3 linked regions of the Stegostoma tigrinum genome follow. The protein of the gene in region 3 purifies or fractionates together with the protein of the main gene of each other region. This does not show direct contact. Links are inferred from orthologs where the notes say so. Each region holds a gene or a part of one and is shown on either strand. Other genes may lie near its edges. The genes, in order: ube3d, fip1l1a and cpsf3.

The links.
Region 1: the proteins of cpsf3 (region 3) and ube3d purify together in Homo sapiens (affinity purification with mass spectrometry; 4 studies listed by BioGRID and IntAct, counting the BioPlex papers as one, with this or other methods). This does not show direct contact. The link is inferred for Stegostoma tigrinum from reciprocal best matches to the Homo sapiens genes CPSF3 and UBE3D.
Region 2: the proteins of cpsf3 (region 3) and fip1l1a purify together in Homo sapiens (affinity purification with mass spectrometry; 5 studies listed by BioGRID and IntAct, with this or other methods). This does not show direct contact. The link is inferred for Stegostoma tigrinum from reciprocal best matches to the Homo sapiens genes CPSF3 and FIP1L1.

The regions. Positions count from the first base shown.
Region 1 is NC_081357.1:39,205,102-39,213,184, reverse strand, and holds the start of ube3d (E3 ubiquitin-protein ligase E3D), read left to right. Parts: upstream 1-5,021; 5' UTR 5,022-6,479; intron 6,480-8,083. Other genes in the region: gap junction beta-7 protein-like, read left to right, coding at 2,816-3,574. UniProt on the Homo sapiens protein: E3 ubiquitin-protein ligase which accepts ubiquitin from specific E2 ubiquitin-conjugating enzymes, and transfers it to substrates, generally promoting their degradation by the proteasome.
Region 2 is NC_081354.1:107,223,173-107,230,277, forward strand, and holds the start of fip1l1a (pre-mRNA 3'-end-processing factor FIP1), read left to right. Parts: upstream 1-4,104; 5' UTR 4,105-4,246; coding exon 4,247-4,334; intron 4,335-4,465; coding exon 4,466-4,511; intron 4,512-7,105.
Region 3 is NC_081357.1:115,214,793-115,221,908, reverse strand, and holds the start of cpsf3 (cleavage and polyadenylation specificity factor subunit 3), read right to left. Parts: upstream 3,067-7,116; 5' UTR 3,011-3,066; coding exon 2,940-3,010; intron 2,007-2,939; coding exon 1,943-2,006; intron 1,550-1,942; exon of another isoform or gene 1,549-1,549; coding exon 1,451-1,548; intron 1-1,450. UniProt on the Homo sapiens protein: Component of the cleavage and polyadenylation specificity factor (CPSF) complex that plays a key role in pre-mRNA 3'-end formation, recognizing the AAUAAA signal sequence and interacting with poly(A) polymerase and other factors to bring about cleavage and poly(A) addition.

The sequences.
Region 1 (8,083 bases), about 76 Mb from region 3:
TTAAACTGACAAATTCAACAGCACGACTGCTGACAGAATGAAGCAGGTGTTAGATGGAAAAAGAACAACTGAATATGTTGTTGATCATGAAGGAGTTCCTTGGTTACAGTGAGGTGATTTACACAGAATTTGCCAATTCTGCCTGGTTAAAAAATTGCATGTTCAATATTTCATTCTTCAACATTTATGTTTAATATTCATCGTAGGGAAAGATGTAATTTGTCTCTGATTTGACTTTGGGTGTATTAATGAAACATATGAAAAGAGAATGCAATGAAATTGAATGATGTATTTGCTTGATATTGCTGCAGACCTATGTCAACAAACTCTGCATTGAATTAAAATTTGACTACCAAAACCAGCTTTTTCTATTTACAGAGTCTGTATAAATTTATCAATGCAAAGCAACTTCCATCATAAGCCACAACAAAATACATCTGTGTAATTAATTAATTTAAAATGCAGTATCAATTTACAAAAAACAAGCTTGACTAAGGAAGGGATAATGGGAACTGCAGATGCTGGAGAATCCAAGATAATAAAGTGTGAAGCTGGATGAACACAGCAGGCCAAGCAGCATCTCAGGAGCACAAAAGCTCCTGAGATGCTGATGGCCTGCTGTGTTCATCCAACTTCACACTTTATTATCTTGACTAAGGAATCCTATATTAGACTAAATCAAAAATATATTTGCATTTTTGTTTGGAACTCTCAATTAAACCACTGTATATTAATCTCTTTAAAATGTAGGATCTACAATAATAATAAAAACCTAAAGAATGGTGGATGCTGTAAATCAGGAACAAAAACTGAAGTTGCTGGAAAAGCTCAGCAGGTCTGGTAGCATCTGTGGAGGAGAAAACAGACTTAACATTTCAGTCCAGTCACCCTTCTTCAGAGCTGATGGTGGCTGGGAAATTGTCAGTTTATATGCAGAAAATAGGGAGGTGGGTGGGGTAGGGAGTAAATGATAGGATAGACCCCAAAGAGAGAGAAAGACAGTTGGACAAACAAAGGAGTTGCTAACGATCAGGCTGGGAGGGTGAATAGTTGTTAATGGGGACCGTTAGTGACTAATAACAGGGGGTGTGTAGTGGCAGGCTATGTGGTGACAAGGCCTGGTGTGTGGGGTGGGGGCTGGGACATGGGTGAGTTTAGGCCCTAAAATTATTGAACTCGATATTGAGTCCAGCGGGCTGTAGGGTCCCCAAGCGGAAAATGAGGTGTTGTTCCTCCAGCTTGCGCTGGTCTTCACTAGAACACTGTAGCAAGCGGTGGGGGATGGAGACAGGCTGCAGTGGGGAGAGAGGTTACAGCTGTCCCTTCTTATCAGGCTCCTGGGCTTTCTAAGATGGGTTCCCCTCAGCCCTCAGTTGTTTGGCCACAGCCTTCCTACCCTTTTAGCTGGTACCTCCTTTCCTTCCAGCATATCCCATACACTCTTTTCTCTCTCTAGGGATGCAGTGACGATCTCAGGTGAAGGAGCAGTACAGTACTGGCTGTAGCCACTGCTCCTGATTTGGAGGCCTGTCAGTGTCTGATTGGCCAGCAGCTCTCTGAGGAGGCCCTTCCTGATTGAAGAAAGTCTGTACTATACTCTCCCTCCATTGCCTTCACCTTCTTCCTGTAACGTGTAGACCAAAACTGTAATCAATACTCCAACTGTTGCCTTGCTATGATTTTACATATCACCTTCATATCACAACTTTGATCTTCAATACTGAGTTCGAAAGGAAAAGGCACTCAAATTAAGATGGACAGATAAAGGACTGAGATAGTATTCAAAATGGTTGGAATCAGGGCAGATGTTTTTGAGTTTCAGCTGCTAGCACTGAACCTTGCCCACCAGAATTGCAGATTGGAAAACCCTCACAACTTACCATGGAAAACCAGGGGAACAGCCCTCAAAATTTGCACAAATAATCCTTAGGTAAACCACGAAGGAATTAATGGTTTAAGGGGTCAAAACAGATTCCCTGGATGTGTCTGGGAATGGAAGGTTTGACTTATAAGGAGAGACTGGTTAGGCTGGGACCTTTATTCGCTGGAGCACAGGAGGTTGAGGGGTGACCTTATAGAGATTTATAAAGGATTTTCTTCTCCCAGAGATGGCATTCCCTCTAATTTTCCTTAACAGCTGCATGGGTTCTCAGGGGTCCAAGCATGGCTTCTGGAACTGGATATCAACCACAGGATCAGCATGCCACTGCTGACTGTTGGGTGCAGAATATCAGAGCAGCTGCCTCTAAGCAGCTTAGAGGGAATGTTGCACAGAAGCCAGAGAACATCTGGAATTCTCTACCCCAGAGATTGGATCACTGAAAGTATTTAAAAAGAAGGTAGATAGATTTTTGAAATCTGGGGGAGTTGTGGGCAATGAAGAGCTGGTGAAAGGAGAGTTGAGCCTTGGCCATGATCCTAATGAATGGTAGGTCAGACTTGAAAGGCTGAATGGCCTACACCTGCTCCTATCTCTTGTGTTCTCAATGCTTTGGTCCACTGCCCAATACTCCTTTATGCGAGTATTACAACACTTCTGTGTGGGTTCTTGGGGAGATTTATTTCATTAGATGCTCTACATAAATAAGTGCTGCCATTAAACTAAGACAGTGCAAATTGTGGCGATGTCCCTTGGGGTGCAGTGGTAGACTCCCTAAGCCTGGGCTGAGTGGGCTAGGTTCAAGGCCCAGCTGCCCCAGAGATGTGTCATGCAAGTCTGATAAGATTGATTAAAATAACTATAACTCATCCAGTGCATTAATTTCAAATTTCTTTTCTCTATTCTGTAGATTCATCATCAAGTTATTGAGGAGCCATGAGCTGGAGTTTACTCCGTGATGTTTTGAGCGGAGTGAATAAATACTCCACTGTTGTGGGGAGAATCTGGTTGAGTGTTATGTTCGTATTCCGAGTCCTTATCTATGTGGTGGCTGCAGAACGTGTCTGGAATGATGAACAGAAGGAGTTTACCTGCAACTCAAGGCAAGTTGGTTGTGAAAATGTATGTTTCGACCACTTCTTTCCAGTGTCGCACTCAAGACTTTGGGCACTGCAACTTATCTTGGTTTCTACCCCTTCTCTTCTGGTTGTCATGCATGTAGGTTACAGGGAACACCGAGAGAAGAAGTACAAAAAAAAGCTGTACAAAGACAAAGGGAACATAGATGGAGGTCTGTGGTGGACCTATTTCTTTAGCCTAGTGTTCAAAACAGGAGTTGAGTTCAGTTTCCTGTTTGTGCTGGCATGGATGTACGATGGCTTCATTATTCCTCACCTTTTGAAGTGTGAGATCAAACCTTGCCCTAATGTGGTGGATTGTTTTGTCAGTCGGCCAACAGAAAAGACCATCTTCCTCTACTGCATGGTTGCCTCCTCGGTTCTGTGCATACTGCTAAACATTTGTGAGATGAGCTACCTAATCTTAAAACATTGCAGAGATTGGTGTGAAAAGAGATCTGTGAAGCAGGCAAAACGATTGAAATGTGGATGCCGTCCTTTAGAAACGAATCAGCCTCAACGAAAAGGACTTAAAAATGGCACTTTGAGGTCTTCTGTAAGTATGTGCACTTTGTAAAATCAGAGCAACAGCAAGACAATCTCTGATATTGCGAATGAAAGCTGGCTTTAGAGCAAGAGACTTTGGTGGACAGTTACCTGTTATTTAAAGAAATAAACCAAACATGAATTATTGCATTAACAAAGACAGAGAATGCCAGAGAAACTCAGCAGGTCTGGCAGCATCTGTGGAGAGAGAAACCGAGTTAACGTTTCAAATCTAAAAACGCTTTCCCGAACTTTCACAGTCATGTTGGACTCGAAGTGTTAACTCTATTTTTCTCTCTCCACCGTTACTGCCAACCTTGCTGAACTTCTCCAGCACTTTCTACTTTTACTTTAAATCTTCAGCACCTGCAATATTTTGCTTTTATTTGATTTATGGAGCTACTGCCGAGGAATCTTTGAAGAATGTTTAAAATTTTTACTGAAAAGATTGTGGATGTGTAGAATACTAACTTCAACATGCCTTAATTACATATAATTTTGAACCAAGCTTTGTACAATTGAGTGCAGGACACATGGGTCAGCACAGAACACACGGTTGCCATATTAATTACAAAAGTCAGTTATACCTTTGTAAAAGATTATATCTTTAGTAAAAAAGATCTCCTCCCGAGTACATCTACAAATTGTGTAAACTTGGCAAGTTGATCCTAAGGTGAAAATGACCACTTATTCATTTTGATGAAAAAAAAATAGCTGTTGCGTTTTTGGGTAATCGTGAAAGTGGGTGCACAGTTGAGGAAGTCATTTACAAAGACACAAGAGCTATTGCACAGACAGTATTTACTGTCAGCCAGGCAGAATTATGGGAACATAATTTACGTGTTCTGGCGTAAAGATGTGAGGGTTGTAAGCATGCAGAGATTTTACTTCTCCGTCCTTTCGTCTTACTTTCTGACAATGACTGTAATTTGTATTGTTTATTTTACCCTGGTAAAGTTAATCCGAATTGTATCCTGACTGTTACGTAGTACATGAGAAAATGCAATCAATCATAAACAATTATTTCACTGTACGTGAAAAGACTTCCATTCATAAAAACACATTAAAAAACCCTGAATTGTATCAGTGATAATGGGAACTGCAGATGCTGGAGAATCCAAGATAATGAAATGTGAGGCTGGATGAACACAGCAGGCCCAGCAGCATCTCAGGAGCACAAAAGCTGACGTTTCCGGCCTAGACCCTCTGACGTTTCGGGAGGGTCTAGGCCCGAAACATCAGCTTTTGTGCTCCTGAGATGCTGCTGGGCCTGCTGTGTTCATCCAGCCTCACATTTCATTATCTTTAAAAACCCTGAAAGTGGGAATGAGTGACAAAGATAACAAAGTGTGAAGCTGGATGAACACAGCAGGCCAAGCAGCATCTTGCTCCTGAGACGCTGCTTGGCCTGCTGTGTTCATCCAGCTTCACACTTTGTTATCTTGGATTCTCCAGCATCTGCAGTTCCCATTATCTCTGAGTGACAAAGGCTGACTTTGCCTGTGATGCTCATGACAAAATGAAACATAGGCATATTTTGAATTCCTTTGAGAAGCTGACCCACCCTTTAGAAAATTTTTTTAAAAATCGATCAAATAATAAACACTAGAATTAAGCACTCAAAAACAAATGCAGTATCTTACCCAGAATTTAATTCTTCCCATTTTCCAATATCTTTCATCGTCTTCACCTCACAATAACCAAGTGGTCCCTTGCAAATGCTTGAGCAATATGGCTGCATTTCAGTTTCCAATATAGTTTGGGGTTGCTTTACCTTGATAACTTTTCAGTCTTTCTAATGTATATTATCTCAAAGCTGCCCCCATTCCACCACCTCTCCACTCTCCTGTTTTCTTTTCTTGATGTTACATGTTACATTGCAACTCTCCTTCTTGCCCTATAACCACGTCCTTTCTTCAGTGACTTCTTGCCCTTGATAGCTACACTTCTGTTCCCAGAGTCTCTCAGGTTCCAGAGAGTCACAAACTGTATTTGACAGGGGTTACACCGTGTTCCCAGGGGTGACTCTCTGCTCCTAGCAGTGACAAACTTTACTCCAGGTGATCACATTCTCTGGTCTCCAGAGGTTTCTCTCTCTTTTTCCACTTTGCCCCTCAGGGTCACGTTCTGGCTTCTTGTGTGTCAAAAACGTTACTGTCGGAGGTTTCACAACCTGTTTCTAATGGGGTAAATCTCAGTTCTCAGGAATTACATTCTGTTGATCATTACCTGCATCTTGCCAACTTGTCGGTCTCCCAACTTCGAGTCTCTCTCTTCCCCGCTTGCAAAGAGCTCCCAAATCCTTTTCCCAATTGCTCCAAAAGCTCTGTCCCTCGACATACTTAGCTCCAAAAAGCAACTCTCAATAAACTCCATCCCAGACTTCCCTATATTTCAGGTCCCTCACTACTACCCTATTTAACTGTATAGCTGGGCTCCTGCAGAATGCTTCGGCCTTTGCATCTTTCCCAGTGCTCAACTGTCTGAAAGCAGAAAAGACAGAACTGATGGATTTTTGGATCAAATGATCTTTCAATTGTGAAAACTTTCACAATAAGTGCACACATTTTTACTATAGATTGACAATTGATGTCACGATGAAGGAGAAACAAACCCGGGGCATCACGGAGCATTTACAATAGGACATAATTCTTTATGTAAACCAGGATACAAATAAGTCAATGGGTATTTTCTGAAATGTGACTTCTGAATGCTTAATGTGCTTCGCCCAAATTCCATTTTAATGAGGCTTTTAAATTTGGTTGGTTAGTACCATTGTAAAAATAGCATATAGAGAAATGTAGTGAGGGCTGTTTTTATTTGAACTTGACCAGTTGAAAGGCCAACTTGGACAAGGATCATCAAAGAGTCATTGTTATTGATTTAAATCTATGGCTTAATTCATTGTTGAACTTAGCTGATCTAACAAAACAGTGGTGAGTAGTATGATCGGGATCAATAAGTATATTAAGAGCAGTCTATTTTCAGTGAGGAGATTAGTGCTATGAAAGCTTTGTATGTTAACACTCCAAATCTGGTTTGACAGGCTTAACAAGCAAACAGTGTAGGTTCAGATATCTACATCAATACCATTTATGCTTTTTGGATGTAAGTTATGATTTAGGATGCATTTCTTTTCTTTTTATCTCATGATTGTTTTTCCGGCTGCAAACTAAGGAATTACTGGATTTATTAGATTATTCAATAATTACTACTCAAACTCAAATACTCTTTGGATTACTACAATCATTAAGATATTGTATTTAAACTGTTCCTGTTCATTATTTCAAATGTTGTGGACTCAATGCTTGTCTTGATAGAACATGTGTAGATTTATGCCAATATTTTATATTTGAAAAGTCAAATGTAATTTCAATATTTTACTTGATTATGCTTCTGTGAAGTACTTTGTAACTATTCTATCTATTTAAAGGCGCCATATGAATGCAAGTTGCTGCCTGCACAATGTAATTCTCTGGCAGACTTTGTCTTGAAGAAAATAAACAAATTTGTTTCATATACTTCTCAATTCATCAATTGTTGTTCATTTTACTCTTGGTCATTTTGATTGGGGTTTTCCACAATTAAAAACATTTAGCAGGTTGCATTCTAAAATGCAAATACTCCTATGATTGATGCCAATAGATCTTACTTAATGATCTTTCAGAATTTATTTTCCTCATGCTTTTACACATTTAGCAGATAGGTTTGAGAAACTGGAATGCTTTTGAGTATTTATTATTCTTCCGAAAAAGAAGGCTTGTTTAAAATCTAATTTTGACTTACTGACCGTTCCTTTAACCTAGTGCTTAGCAGTTTGAAGAATGATTATATGTGAGTGTTGCATACTATGCTTAGTCTAATACAACCCTTAAAGTTTAGTTAGTTTCGATATGGATGGGGAAACGGTTTAAACTCAATGCTGTCATGCAATTACTTCTGCTTTAAAAAAAGAGACATATCAAAAATCCAAAAATTCTGTTCCTCTTTTGTAGAATATAAAGAAGAACAACCTGGTTGAAATTAAACTGCTTGAAAATTTTATCAGAAATGGGAACTCACCAATTTGGATAGGAACCAACAATAAAAAGGCTGTTTCAGTTTTCAAAAATGTAAAGACTATTGTAAATAAGCTCCCACAGTCACAATTTGTAGGAAAATTAACTATATTTTAAGTTATTTGTGAAGTTGTAGCTTTGAACCTGAAAGATTAACTGTTTCTCTCCTCACAGATGCTGCCAGACCTGCTGAGTTTTTCCAGCATTGCCTGTTTTTATGTCAGATCTCCAGCATCCACAGTACATTTTCTTATTTGAAGCTTTTATCAGATGAGGTTTATTACTTATTGCTTCGGATATTATAAAAAGCATACCCAATGGAAGCATATCCAATGTTTGTTGTGTGCGCAAAGGTATAATTGGATGACTGTTTGTCTCACTGGGGATGAAGGAGAGTGAATGAGTGGGTAATTGTGAAAAACAGTCACTGGTAGTAAAAATGGATGTACTAAGTGTAACAATGAACATAGTAAGTCAACGAT
Region 2 (7,105 bases), on a different chromosome or scaffold from region 3:
CTGACATCTGTCTTGCTTAATACAAAAGAGCGCCTCCCATTCATCACTGAACAATGTTACAAAGCATTAGGAAAACACCATCAATGTTTTTAAAATTTTATTTTATTCATTCATGGGACATGAGTATCACTGGCTATGCCAGCATTTATTACCCAACATTAGTTGTCCTGGAGAAGGTGATGAATTTCTGAAATCCATTTGGTAGGTACACCCCAGGCTGTCAGATAGGGACTTCCAGGATTTTGACATAGTGACACTTAAGGAGTGATGATATATTTCCAAGTCAGGATAGTGAGTGACTTGGCTGGAAACTTGCAGATGTCGGTGTTTCCATGTATCTGCTGCCCTTGTCCATCTTATTGTAGGTTTCGAAGGTGCTGAGTAAGGATTCTTGGTGAATTTCTACAGTGCATGTTACAGATGGTGTTCACTGCTGTGACTGAGCTTCAATAATGATAGGAAAGTTTGTGGATGTGATGCTAACCAAGTAGGCTGCTTTGTCCTAACTCACTTCTTGAGTGCTTTTGAAGGTGCACTCATCAGGCAAATGGGAAGTATTCCATCACAGAATTAATTTGACCCTTCTTGATGATCAACAGGCTTTGGGGAGTCAGGAGGTGAGTTATATGCTGCAGGTTTGTTCAAACAAATCTAAAAAGGATCTTACATGTTAGTTCTACTGATAAAATGAACTAACAGCCAGGCTGCACATGCTATGGAGCTGAAATACTATTTCCTCTCAAGTGACCATATTGTAACCATTCACACACTGTCTATTTGACCTGTTTTGGAAAATGATTTAGCTGTATAGTTGAGTAGAAAACAAAGCCAATTAAAATGTTCAGAAAATAGCTTGCAAAATCATCTTTGTTCTGATGACAGTATCATGGTTATTCAGATGTCTTACATAAATGTGGTCTGAAGACACATGAAAACAGGCACAATCACCATTCTGACAGTTCACTATCCTTCCAGTGATAATTCTAGGCCTGAAACGTCAGCTTTTGTGCTCCTGAGCTGCTGCTGGGCCTGCTGCGTTTATCCAGCCTCACATCTTATTATCACTATCCTTCCAGGTTGTGTGCTTCTGTAAATTTTTAAGTTATGTATTTTAACACCAAAGTCATTAATACAGATCAAGAAAATCAATTGTGCTAAAGACAATCCCTGGGGACCTCCACTACATACGAGCCTTCAGTTTGACAAACAACTGTTCCCCACTGTCCTCTGCGTCCAGGCACTAAGTCTAAAACAATTTTAAAAACCTTGCTGATATTTCTTAATGAGAAACTTTCTCAACTCTGAAGTTAAACTGACTGGCCTGTAACTTGCAGAATTTGTTCCTGCATCTTCTTTTGAAAGGGTTCGGTACTCTCTCGTCCTCTGGAACCATCCCCATAATTAAAGAAAATTGAAAGACTGCAGCTAGTGCCTTTGTAGTTTTCATTTCATCTTACCTTTTATTTCCACCATCCAGGGAAGGCTGGTTTTGTTTTCCCTGTCCTTTCCCTCTATGCATCTCCAATCTAACCATCAATGAACATATAAAATAAGAGCAGAGGTAGACCATTCTAGCCCTCACCAGTCAATAAGATCATGGATGACCTAGTCATTAATGGCAGTCATTTGCTCAATGTGTCCAACAATCTTTGATTCTAATCAACCCAACACAAACTGGGAATCATTACTGATGCAGATTATTGTTCAAATATAGGTAGTAAATTTTCTTGTTTCTATGTTGAGTTTCAGAAGTGGCATCAATAATGGCGAACAGAATTGTGAAGTGATTTTTTTCAATTATTTCATACAGCATGAATGTTGCTAGCAAGGCAAGCATAATCATTTTTGAAATGTTGAAGGAAAGTTGACTTTCTGTACCACTACAGTTCATTCGGTGTAGGTCAATGCACAGATGAAGGGATGGAGATTTCATTTCACATCAGGATAGCATGGCGTTTGGAGAGGAAATTGCAAGTAGTGATGTTCATATGCATCTGGTGTCTGTCTTTCCAGGTGGTACAGATTATTAGTTTGGAAATTTTATGTTAACATATGCTAAAATCTTTATAAACCCTTCCTTGAATTCTTGCCTGAGTCATCAGTTTCAAACACCATTTCAGAGACTTGAGCTCATAATTTACACCAAAGTAAACACGATACTGTTGGAGGTGACTTTTTTTTTGATAGGATGCCAAACTGAGGTCTTGTTTGTTCTGTCATGTGGACAGAAAAGATTCAAGATATTAACACACGAGAATTCACAGGTGTTCTATTTATTGTACATTCTTTAAACAAAATCAACACTCTAGGTAAGTCAACTATCTTGTTGCTATAACGAGATAACAAATTGTGGAGCTGGATGAACACAGCAGGCCAAGCAGCATCTCAGGAGCACAAAAACTGATGTTTCAGGCCTAGACCCTTCATCAGAGAGGGGGATGGGGAGAGGGAACTGGAATAAATAGGGAGAGAGGGGGAGGCCGAAGATGGAAAGAAAACAAGATAGGTAGAGAGGAGAGTATAGGTGAGGAGGTATAGAGGGAATAGGTCGAGGAGGCGGGATGAGGTGGTAGGTAGGAAATGGAGGTGCGGCTTGAGGTGGGAGGAAGGGATAGGTGAGAGGAAGAACAGGTTAGGGAAGCAGAGACAGGATGGGCTGGACACTCTCTCCACAGCTCCCTTGTCCGCTCCACACTCCCCTCCAACCCCACCACACCCAGCACCTTCCCCTGCAACCGCAGGAAGTGCTACACTTGCCCCCACACCTCCTCCTTCACCCCCATCCCAGGCCCCAAAATGACCTTCCATATCAAGGAGATGTTCACCTGCACATCTGCTAATGTGGCACATTGTATCCATCGTACCTGGTGTGGCTTCCTCTACATTGTGGAAACCAAGCGGAGGCTTGGGGACCGCTTTGCAGAACACCTCTGCTCGGTTCGCACTAAACAGCTGCACCTCCCAGTCGCGAACCATTTCAGCTCCCCCTCCCATTCCTCAGACGACATGTCCATCATGGGCCTCCTGCAGTGCCACACTGATGCCACCCGAAGGTTGCAGGAACAGCAACTCATATTCCGCTTGGGAACCCTGCAGCCCAATGGTATCAATGTGTACTTCACCAGCTTCAAAATCTCCCCTTCCCCCACTGCATCCCAAAACCAGCCTAGTTCTTCCCCTCCCCCCACTGCATCCCAAAACCAGCCCATCCCATCTCTGCTTCCCCAACCTGTAGTTCCTCTCACCCATCCCTTCCTCCCACCTCAAGCCACACCTCCATTTCCTACCTACCACCTCATCCCGCCTCCTTGACCTGTCCATCTTCCCTGGACTGACCTATCCCCTCCCTACCTATCTTGTTTTCTCTCCATCTTTGGTGCGCCTCCCCCTCTCCCCACCCCCCCTTTTCTGATGAAGGGTCTAGGCCCGAAACGTCAGTTTTTGTGCTCCTGAGATGCTGCTTGGCCTGCTGTGTTCATCCTGCTCCACATTTTATTATCTTGGATTCTCCAGTTCCCATTATCATTGTTGCTATAACGATATGGTTTAGCTACTACATTTCCTACATGAGAACAATGATATACATCAAAGGTTTTTCCCCTCACTGTAAAAGTTTGGCATCATACCGGGGACTAATCTATCTGCCCTTCCAGCATCATCTTTTCTACAACTTGTTACCCCGACAATGTATTTTAACATTGAAGAGAAAATGCTGGAAATACCTAGCCAGTCCGAAAACCTCTGCGGGAAGAGAACTGTTTCTCTCCCCGTAGATACTTGCCAGGCCCGAGCCTTTCCATCATTTTCCATTCCTATCCCCATGATTCGCGGGATTTTGCTGGTGGAGGTGACACAGTGTGGAGGTGGAGGAGGAGGAACATCTCTGACTCCACTTCTCACTGTCTCTTTTGCTTTTGGAGTATGTTTTCAAAATCCAAGGTAATGATGAGTCACGAACCAAAAGCATGTGAAATGTTGTGAGTACAGCACTGAACATTGCCTGTGTAACACACAGTCTCTCTCTCTCTCTCCCTACTTACCTGCTTTCACTTTGACACCAAGCAGTTAGACTGAGGGTCAGTGCCAGAGGCTGGTTTCCGGGTCAGAGGTACCGGCTTCGGGGGTCATTTCCTGGGTTAAAGGTCAGGCTGGCAGTGAATGTGCGTATCAGGAGTTGGGCCCAGTGCACGGCGAAGTTAATCTCATTTCCCCGGGCGGGTGGTCAGGCAGGCGGCCGGCCGGCAGCATGTCAGCGGAGGCGGAGAACGTGCCGAAGGAGGCCGGCTCAGGCAGCGCGGGGCTCGGTGAGGATGAAGAGCACTGGCTGTACGGAGGTGAGTGTGGGCCCCGGGCTTGGGCGAGGTGGTACTGTCAGAGCCGGCCCCGGCATGTTACAGCGCGACCTCTGATCACCATCGTTTCCTCCTGGCCTCCTCTTTAAGCCGATGTTCCGTTTCGATTTCAGATGAAAACGACCCAAACAAACAAGAAGAGGCCGCGCCTGTTGACAGGTGAGCGAAAATTCAGAAGTTCTCAGCCCCCGCTTTTTCTCACTTTCACCGTGTGGATTGCTTACATTTTTACAGGGGTCCTTTACTCCTCAACACTGCATTCAGATCTTTTGGTAAAGACACTTCTGTTTTGTGTCTGTGTGGTCGGGTTGATCAATTTGTACAGAATTCAAGGTGCATTGGCCGGCAGTGATCCTTGGGGTGAGGTGCATTGGCCGGCAGTGATCCTTGGGGTGAAGTGAGATTCTCAGGAGGTTTGACAGGTTGGAACAGAAACAAAGTTGCTGGGAAAGCTCAACAGGTCTGACAGCATCTGTGAGGAAGAAAACAGAGTTAACTTTTCAGGTCCGGTGACCCTTCCTCAGAATTGATAGGGTAGAAACTGAGCGGTTGTTTCCTCTTGTGGGACTATGTAAATGAACTCCAGTAAATATCTTGAGGTTTTCTGTTTCTTACTATCTTTCTATGCAGTGAATTCCAGATACCCACCATCCTTGTATTGATCTCTCTACTAAGGAGGAAAAGCTCTCCTTCAAGGGCATTCTCCTATAACGCATGTTCTGGCTACACGAATTGGCTATGACATGACTGACGATGGGGGGGGGGACACTATTTCTAAAACACCAACTTGTGTTGGCTACAATGTGATTTCATCGCTGACCAATTGATTTTTTAGAAAGTATTACAAGAAAAAAATTGGATTTAAAGATTCTCCTCATCCTGGCCTAGGCACCAAGCCATCATCCCACCATTGCTGAGCTTTCTGAAAAAAAAAGTGCTATTTCAAGCCCTCAAACACAGCTCCTCTACTTCAACCCATGGACCAGGGTGCAATTGCAGCTTTTTATTTAAGACATGCATTTAAGAGGCTGATTGCAGCTACTCAGCGGGACAGGGACAGTGTTCTGCTGGTTGAGTCCCGCTGTGAAGACAGCAACTAGTTGTGAGGGGGAGGTGGAAGCTGGATGAAGGTGAAGTCCAAGATGCAGCACCATGAGAGCTTCCCACTTGTGTTTTGCCTTCTATTCTAAGGGAAATTGAGAAGCAGTTGCAACTTTTAGAGGACAATGATTATAGCGCAGAACATGGCAGAGTAGCAGTTTGTGGAAAGTGGCAGCCTATGAACAGCTTCTGCATGAAAGAAGAAAAAAAGGCAGAACAGCAAAAACTGGATGTCTTTTTGACCTAACCCTGCAACCATAACTGTGCCTGAAGAAGGTGTTGGTGGTGGTGATGATGATTATGATGATGACCCTTAGCCCCTCCATTAACAACAGAGTAACCTCAAAACCTCCTCCCCATCAAGTCATCTTGATGTTTTTTTCAAGGTAAGGCGTTAAATTTACTTTTATTTCATTATTACGTATGCATTCAACATTTATTCAAACTGTTCTGTCCTTTTCTGTTAGGCTTTTGAGTGACTTTGGAGTGTTATATTTTGATGGTCTGACCCAACCCTGTTTTCTCCAGAGGCCCTGTGATTTTCTATGATGCATTGTTGCACAAGAATGCAACTTTCATGTTATGGCAGAATCCCCAGCATCTACTTGAACGATGACCCGCAACTGTGTTTAGGTCAATAAGGCCAGTGTCCTATGCGTTGTCTTAAGTTTCATATTTACCTGTCCTTCTGGCTTCAAGGATCTTTGGACATGCACGCCAAGGTTTGTCTCATCCACTGTATTCTAGAGCCTGGGACTTTGGCAACTGAAGGAGCAGAGATGAATAGTGAAGTGGATTAAAGTTGTTTGAAGTAAAGGTCACTGTTACAGGAAGGCAGATGCCTTGGACAGTTTAGGAAGGTTGGGGGAGATAGGTAGGGACGTGAAGGAATGTGAAAGCAAGTATGAAAACTTTTCAGTCAAACATTTGCTTGATGGCAAACGAATGGTAAGCAGAGATGATAGAAAAGTTAAATGATGCAAGATGAGTCAAGCAGCAGAGTTCTGGATGACTTCGAGCTTAGCGAGGGTAGGATGTACTTGAACAGTTGGCGGTGCATTCAGTAGTTGGACCTTTTAAGTACAAAAGACATGAATGCAGGTTACAACATTATGTGAGAGGTGAAGTTGAAGATGGAAATTTTTGAAAGTTCATCTTGAATCAAATGTGATACTAATGTTGCAAACAAATTCCCTTAATTTCAGACTTGACAGGGAGAGGGTTAGACAAAAATAGAAATTGTTGGAAAAACACAGCAGGTATGTCAGCATCTGTGGACAGAAAGCAGAGTTACTGTTTTGGGCCCACCGAAACTTCCTCAGAACTGGAGCCCTGGAGATGACAGCAAAGGGAATAGACTTTGGAGCAGGCTCTAAATGCAGTGGCTTCAGTTCTTCCAATGTTTAACTGGAGGACATTTCTGCACATAAATAAACGGCCTGATATTGTAGTAACAGTGGTGGGAGGGGCGGGTGGTGGTGGTACCCAAGAAAGTTGACATTAAACAGTCAATTTGAAAACTAATGTGGTGCTTTTGGGTGATGTTGTAGATTTGCTTGCCAAGTGGATGTGTTTTATTGCAGACATTTCATCACCCTGCTAGGTAACATCGTCAGTGTGCCTCAGATGAAGTTTTAGTGAGGCGTATAAAT
Region 3 (7,116 bases):
AGGTTTCAGTGAGATCCCTGCTCACCCTTCTAAACTGCATAGAGTACAAACCCAGAATCCTCATGACAAGCTCAACATCACCGGGATCATTTTTGTAAACTGCCTCTGGTTCTCCTCCAATGCCAGTACATCTTTCCTTAGATATGAAGCCTAAAACTGCTCACAATATTCCAAATGACCAGAGCCTTTATACAGCTTCCACAGTACATTTCTGCTCTTGTATTCTGTGAATGCTAAAATTACACCTTCCCTTCTGACTGCCAACTGAACCTGCATATCAACCTTAAGAGAAATCTGAACTAGGACTCCCAAATCCCTTTGTGCTTCAGATTTCTAATGGCATTCTGTTTAGAAAACAGACAGCATCTCTATTCTTCCTTTGAAAGTGCAAACCTCACATATTCCAACACTGTATTCCATGTACCACTTCTTTGCCCACTCTCCGAGCCAATCCAAATCCTTGTGCAGCCTCCCCACTTGCTCAACACTACCTATCCCTCCACTTGTGGGCCATCTGCAAATTTAGCAAAATTGCCCTCAGTTCCTTTGTCCACATTGTTAATGTATAACACGAATAATGTGCAGTCACAATGCTAATGCCACATGTTACCAGTTGCTGTCCTAAAACAAGACCTCTTAAACCCCACTACTCTGCTTTCTGCTCGTCAGCCAATCCTCCATCCATTCCAGAACCTTGCCCCTAACACCACAGGTTCTTAAATTATTTAGCAGCCCTCCATCCAGCACCATGTCAAAGGCTTTCTGGCTAAACAGATCACATCCACTGGGGCTCCTTTGATTTTATTGTTACCTCTTCACCAAAATTCTCATAGATTTGTCAGGCATGACCTCCTCTTGACGAACCCATGTTGACTCAGCCCCATTTTACCATGCATTTCCAAGTACTCCGCAATCTCATCCTTAATAATAGACTCTCAAATCTTACAGGGTAGGAGAAAATAGGAACCTGCTCCCCAGAAAAAATTGTGTATGTCAGTCAATTAAGATTGGAAAATTGACAGATGTTGCACAGGAAAGATACCAAAGTACGTGGAATAAAGACAAGCAAAGGAGTTGAGGTAAAGATCAGCAATAATGTAACTGAATAAGACAATAGGTTCATGGGACAGATGGGTTATTTCTATCCCTGTGTTCCTACAAACAATAATATAAGCCTTTTGTTTAAAATGTGTGAAAAGGAGAGCAGCATTTTGGTTATAGCAAAATCTTAACAAAACTAGCTCTCAAGTCCAAATGTCAATGATCTGTTTAACAATCTGATTATATATATTATTCCCATCTCAGTCAATGCAACAACTTTTTATTTGTCATCGAGAGTAACTCAACTAAATACAGCGATTGGGTCAATGAAAACAAGGTTCAAATGAAATCTCCTTTTGAAGCCATGTTGTAATTCCTTAATTCTAAAATAGAAAGCTGTAATACTTACTGACTAATAAGGAGAAGATCTATCTCCGCAGGGTCGATCAAATCAATGTATGGAAGTGCATCCATTCCTTCAAGTCCAGGGTGGATTCCACAATCCAACTGAATACGATAAAATTCAGGTGAAGGCGAATCAATAGGCCATCAAAATCAATTCTCAAAGCCGAGTTTAGCATGTTGTTAACGTGAGACCAGATAGACACATAACACCAATATAATCTAATACAAAACAAAGCTTCTTAATCGGATCACATTGCCACCAATTAACCTACAGTTTGAAGAAAGTTTGCAAGCCATATTTTTAATCAACATAGACATCATTAACAAATATGTGTATCAGTCAGTTTGCAAGAAATCAATTAAAAAATATTATATAAAACTGTAACAATTGTTTAATTTCTGCTAGCCAATCAATGATATTTACTGACAACAAAAACTGAAGTCAACTAGCAATCCTGAAGCCTACTGTACACATTTACAATTTATTAAATCATACCATGATTTTCCTTCCTTTGAACTCCACAATGATGCATGATCTTCCCACCTCTTGACCAGCTCCTCTATTAACAATTCATAAAAAAATTCTCAAACTTATGTGATGAAAAGCAATGTCTTCTACTGCATCAATTTGAAGAATTATGAATTTAAAAAAGTTGTCTGATGACTTTACAGGCCAGTGCATGAAGTACAAGCATGGATTTGGTCATCACACATACAAGGTTTAAAGTTTTAATTTGAAAGATAAATTCCTGCTGCAGAGATCTCTAACATCAGAGATAACTGAACATCAGTTGCATCCAATATGCAGTTTTCTCAAAAACAGCAGGCTTGTGTGTATTGGGAGAGATACAGGGGAGGGAAGGAAAACAGAGATGGGTGTACAGGAGAGGGCCGAGGGAGATGGGGAATATGTGGGAAGAAGCTGGGGGGGTGGGAAGAAGCGGGGGGGGGGAAAGAAGCGGGGGGGGGGGAAGAAGCGGGGGGGGGGGAAGAAGCGGGGGGGGGGGAAGAAGCGGGGGGGGGGGAAGAAGCGGGGGGGGGGGAAGAAGCGGGGGGGGGGGGAAGAAGCGGGGGGGGGGGGAAGAAGCGGGGGGGGGGGAAGAAGCGGGGGGGGGGAAGAAGCGGGGGGGGGGGGGAAGGGGGGGGGAAGAAGCGGGGGGGGGAAGAAGCGGGGGGGGGGGGAAGAAGCGGGGGGGGGGGAAGAAGCGGGGGGGGGGAAGAAGCGGGGGGGGGGAAGAAGCGGGGGGGGAAGAAGCCGGGGGGGGAAGAAGCGGGGGGGGGGAGAAGCGGGGGGGGGGAGAAGCGGGGGGAGAAGCGGGGGGTGGGGGGGGAGGGAAGAGGGGGTGGGGGGAGGGGAGGGGGGTGGGGGGAAGGGGTGGGGGGAAGGGGAGGGGGGGTGGGGGGAAGGGGAGGGGGGTGGGGGGTCGGGGTTGTTGGTGGGGGTCGGGGTGGTGTTGACGGTGTTAGGGGGTGGGGGTGGGGGTGGCACTCACAGCGGGCGGATCAGCAGCTGGTCGCTCTCCTCCGCCGGGACAAAAATCTCCGCTTTCCGCTTAGCCGCCATTGCCGGCCTGGGCACTTCCGGCCCGGCCCCAGTAAACCTCCGGCTGGAAACCGCCTCCACCCCTCACAGGCCGGGAGGTCGGGGGACACAACAAAGTGAAACACTCGAGTCTTGAGAGGGGTTTCATCACAAAGTGTCATATTGTGCACTGAGATAATCGTGTTATTTCTGTAAGAAACCGGGTAATTTGTCAGGTAATTCGTTTTGTTTTTGAAGGTTTTAATATATAGAACGTTTTATACATGTTAAAATCGATGTGTTTTTTTGAGATTCAAATCGTTGGGCATGTTATATGTTGGTGCTCGTCAGCAGTGACTCTCTTTTATAATTAAACTCTTGGTTCCACTTAACCTTTAATGCAGGCCATTCAGTGATGTGATGTCTTAAAGGTAAATGTAATGAAGTACTAAACTGACTGGCTGTACTTAAGGGATGATCTGCACTAGGATCAGAGCAGGTACATCCAAGGATATTGAGGGAAGTGAATGGCGGTCTCCTTAGATACCAGGGTGTTGCCAGACGACTGAAGAATCCTAAGTGCTACATCCTTGTTCGAACCAGAGTGTGCAATATACCTAGTAATCACAAACTGGTTGATTTAACTTCAGTGGTGTTGAAGGTCTTCACGGAATATGGTGTGGATAGAGTCCATTCGGCCCTTTGAGTCTGCCCCAACCCTCCAAAAAGCATCCCATCCATACCTACTCTGCCCCGCCGACCCTAACACCGCATTTATGATGGCTAATCCACCTGCCTACACAATCCCCATGCAGACACGGGTGGAAAGTATAAAACCCACATAGACAGTCACCAGAGGTTGAGTCAACACTTGGTCCCTGGTGCTCTGAGGCACTGTGCTAACCACTGAGCCACTCTTAGGAATAGTAACTGAGGGCACAATTAGCACCACTTGACAAATGTTGATGAGTCAGGGAAAACCACCATGGATTTCTTTAAGAGTAGCAAATGGTAGTCTAAAGAAAGGTAATTAACGTAACCGCACTGCTTAAGGGAAAAGAAGGGAGAGAGAAAGCAGGGAATTATAGATCAGTTAACTCAATGTAGATGGTTAGGAAAATGTTTGAGTCCACTATAAAAGATTTAATGGGAGGGCATTTTAGAAAACAGTGACAGGATTGGACAGAGTCAGTATAGATTTATAAAAGGGAAAGCATGCTTGACAAATCTACCGGAATTTTTTGAATTGATAAGGGGGAGCCAGTGGATATGGTTTACTTGGGCTTTCAGAAGGCTTTTGATAAGGTCATAGAGTCAGAGAAGCCATACAACATGGAAACAGACCCTTCTGTTCAACTCATCCACGTCAACCAAATGTCCTAAATAAATCTGGTCCGTTTCTCTCTCAACCCTTTCTAATCAGGTACCCTTCCAGATGCCTTTTAAATGTGTATTTGTACCAGCCTCCACCACCTTTGGCAGCTCATTCCACACACGTAGCGCCATGAAAAAGTTGCGCCTTAGGTCCATTTTAAATCTTTCCGCTCTAACTTTAAACTCCTCTAGTTTTAGACTCCCTTACCTGGGGAAAAGACCTTGGTTATTCACCTTATCCATGCCCCTCATGATTTTATAAACCCCTATAAGGTCACTCCTCAACCTCCAACACTTCAGGGAAAATTGTCCCAGCCTATTCAGCCTCTCCCTAAAACTCAGACACTCCAATCCCGTCAATGTTTTTCTAAATCTTTTCTGCACCCTTTCTTGTTGTTCAATGGTGGGAATCATGGTCCGTGGGAAATAGAGGGAGAGTGAGTGCTGGCAGTCAGCCTCAGCAAGAAAGAGATCAGTACACCAGACAACAGCACAACCCTTGTTGGCAAAGGTTTGATCTGAGAGCATGGAGTGCACTCAGTTCAGAGGGAGATCGGTTCAAATGCGTGAGCGGGGCAGGGGAAAAAAATTAGGGTGACCAATGTGATATTGATAGTTCTCAGTGAACAAATTGTTCACGGTTAAGGAAAGGAGGGAGGGGTCCAGGTAGAGGGAGAATAGAATTTTGAGAAGATTTGTAGCTCAGGTTGAGGTTCTGGATGTGAGTTTGCTTGCTGAGCTGGAAGGTTAGTTTTCAGACGTTTCATCACCTTTTTTTTATTTGAAAAAATATACTTTATTCATAAGATGCACAAAAAATAAAACATATTTATACACCTACCCAGTCATGCAAGCTGCTCCGGGTTACCCAGGGGGTACGTACACCAACTAAAGGAAAAAAAAACAAACAAAGAAGAAAAAAAAACAAAGCAAAGAAAATACCCCGGCAGTCGTCACTCCGCACAGTCCCAGTTGGCCCCCTGACCAGTTGGGGAAGGCGCCAGCTGGGCCCAGTTACCAGATAGGGCCCTTTTTTCTATTCTGGATGAGGGGTTTCATACCGTGGTCTTTCCCCACCGTGCCTTGGCGGCGGCTGCCCCAAGCTTCAGCGCGTCCCTCAGCATGTAGTCCTGGACCTTGGAGTGCGCCAGTCTGCAACACTCGGTCGGGGTCAGTTCTTTCAGCTGGCAGACCAGCAAGTTGCGGGCAGACCAAAGAGCGTCTTTCACTGCATTGATGGTCCTCCAGGCGCAGTTGATGTTGGTCTCGGTGTGCGTCCCAGGAAACAGCCCGTAGAGCACGGAGTCCCGCGTCACGGACCTGCTCGGGACGAACCTCGACAAATACCACTGCATCCCCCTCCAGACCTCCTGCGCATAGGCACACTCCAGAAGGAGGTGATCGACAGTCTCGTTCTCCCCCCGCAGCCACCTCGAGGGCAGTGTGCGGTGGCGCAGAGATTCCGGGCATGCATAAAGGATCTCACTGGCAGAGCCCCTCTCACCGCCAGCCAAGCAATGTCCTTGTGCTTGTTTGAAAGTTCTGGCGATGAGGCATTCTGCCAAACGACTTTGGCAGTCTGCGTGGGGAACCACACGACGGGATCCACCCTCTCCTTTTCCCGAAGGGTCTCAAGGATACTACGTGCTGACCACTGCCTGACGGCCTTGTGGTCAAAGGTGTTTCCCTTCAAAAACTTCTCCACGAAGGACAGGTGGTACAGGACGGTCCAACTACTCGGAGCGTTCCGCAGCAACGAGGCCAGGCCCATCCTTCGCAACACCGGGGACAGGTAGAACCTCAGTAAGTAGTGACACTTGGTGTTTGTGTACTGAGGATCTACGCACAGCTTGATGCAGCCGCACACCGAGGTAGCCATCAGGGCGAGGGTGGCGTTCAGTACGCCCTTTCCCCCATTTTCCAGGTCTTTGTACATGGTGTCCCTGCGGACCCAGTCCATCCTCGACCCCCAAATGAAGTGGAAGATGGCCCAGGTGACCGCAGCGGCGCAGGTCCAGGGAATAGGCCAGGCCTGCGCCACATACAACAGTACCGACAGCCCCTCGCACCTGACAACCAGGTTCTTACCCGCGATGGAGAGGGACCAGAGCATCCACCTGCCCAGCTTCTGCTTCAATTTGGTGATACACTCCTCCCAAGTCTCAGTGCACGGCCCAGCTCCACCGAACCAAACACCCAGCACCTTCAGGTAGTCTGTCCTGACGGTGAAGGGGATGAAGGAGCGGTCGTCCCAGTTCCCGAAGAACATGACCTCGCTCTTACCCCTATTGACTTTGGCACCCGAGGCCAGTTCAAACTGGCCGCAGATGTCCAACAGCCTACTCACCGACTGACGATCGGTGCAGAAGACGGCGACGTCGTCCATGTACAGGGAGGTCTTGACCTGAAGGCCTCCGTTGCCTGGGATAGTCACGCCCTTCAGGCTCACGTCCTTCCTGATGGATGGGGCGAAGGGCTCCACACAGAACACGAACAAGGCAGGAGAGAGCAGGCAGCCCTGCCTGACTCCAGATCTGATGGGAAAACTGTCCGATTCCCACCCGTTGATCGAGACTGTGCTAACGATGTTGGTGTAGAGCAGCCGGATCCAATTGCGGATGCCCTCCCCGAACGAGGACGTCTCTCATGTAAGCGTGAGAGAACCTGTCGAAGGCCTTCTCCTAGTCCAGGCTGACGAGGCAGGTGTCCACTCGCCTGTCCTGTACGTAGGCAGTTGTATCCCTGATGAGCGCGAGGCTCTCAGCGATCTTCCT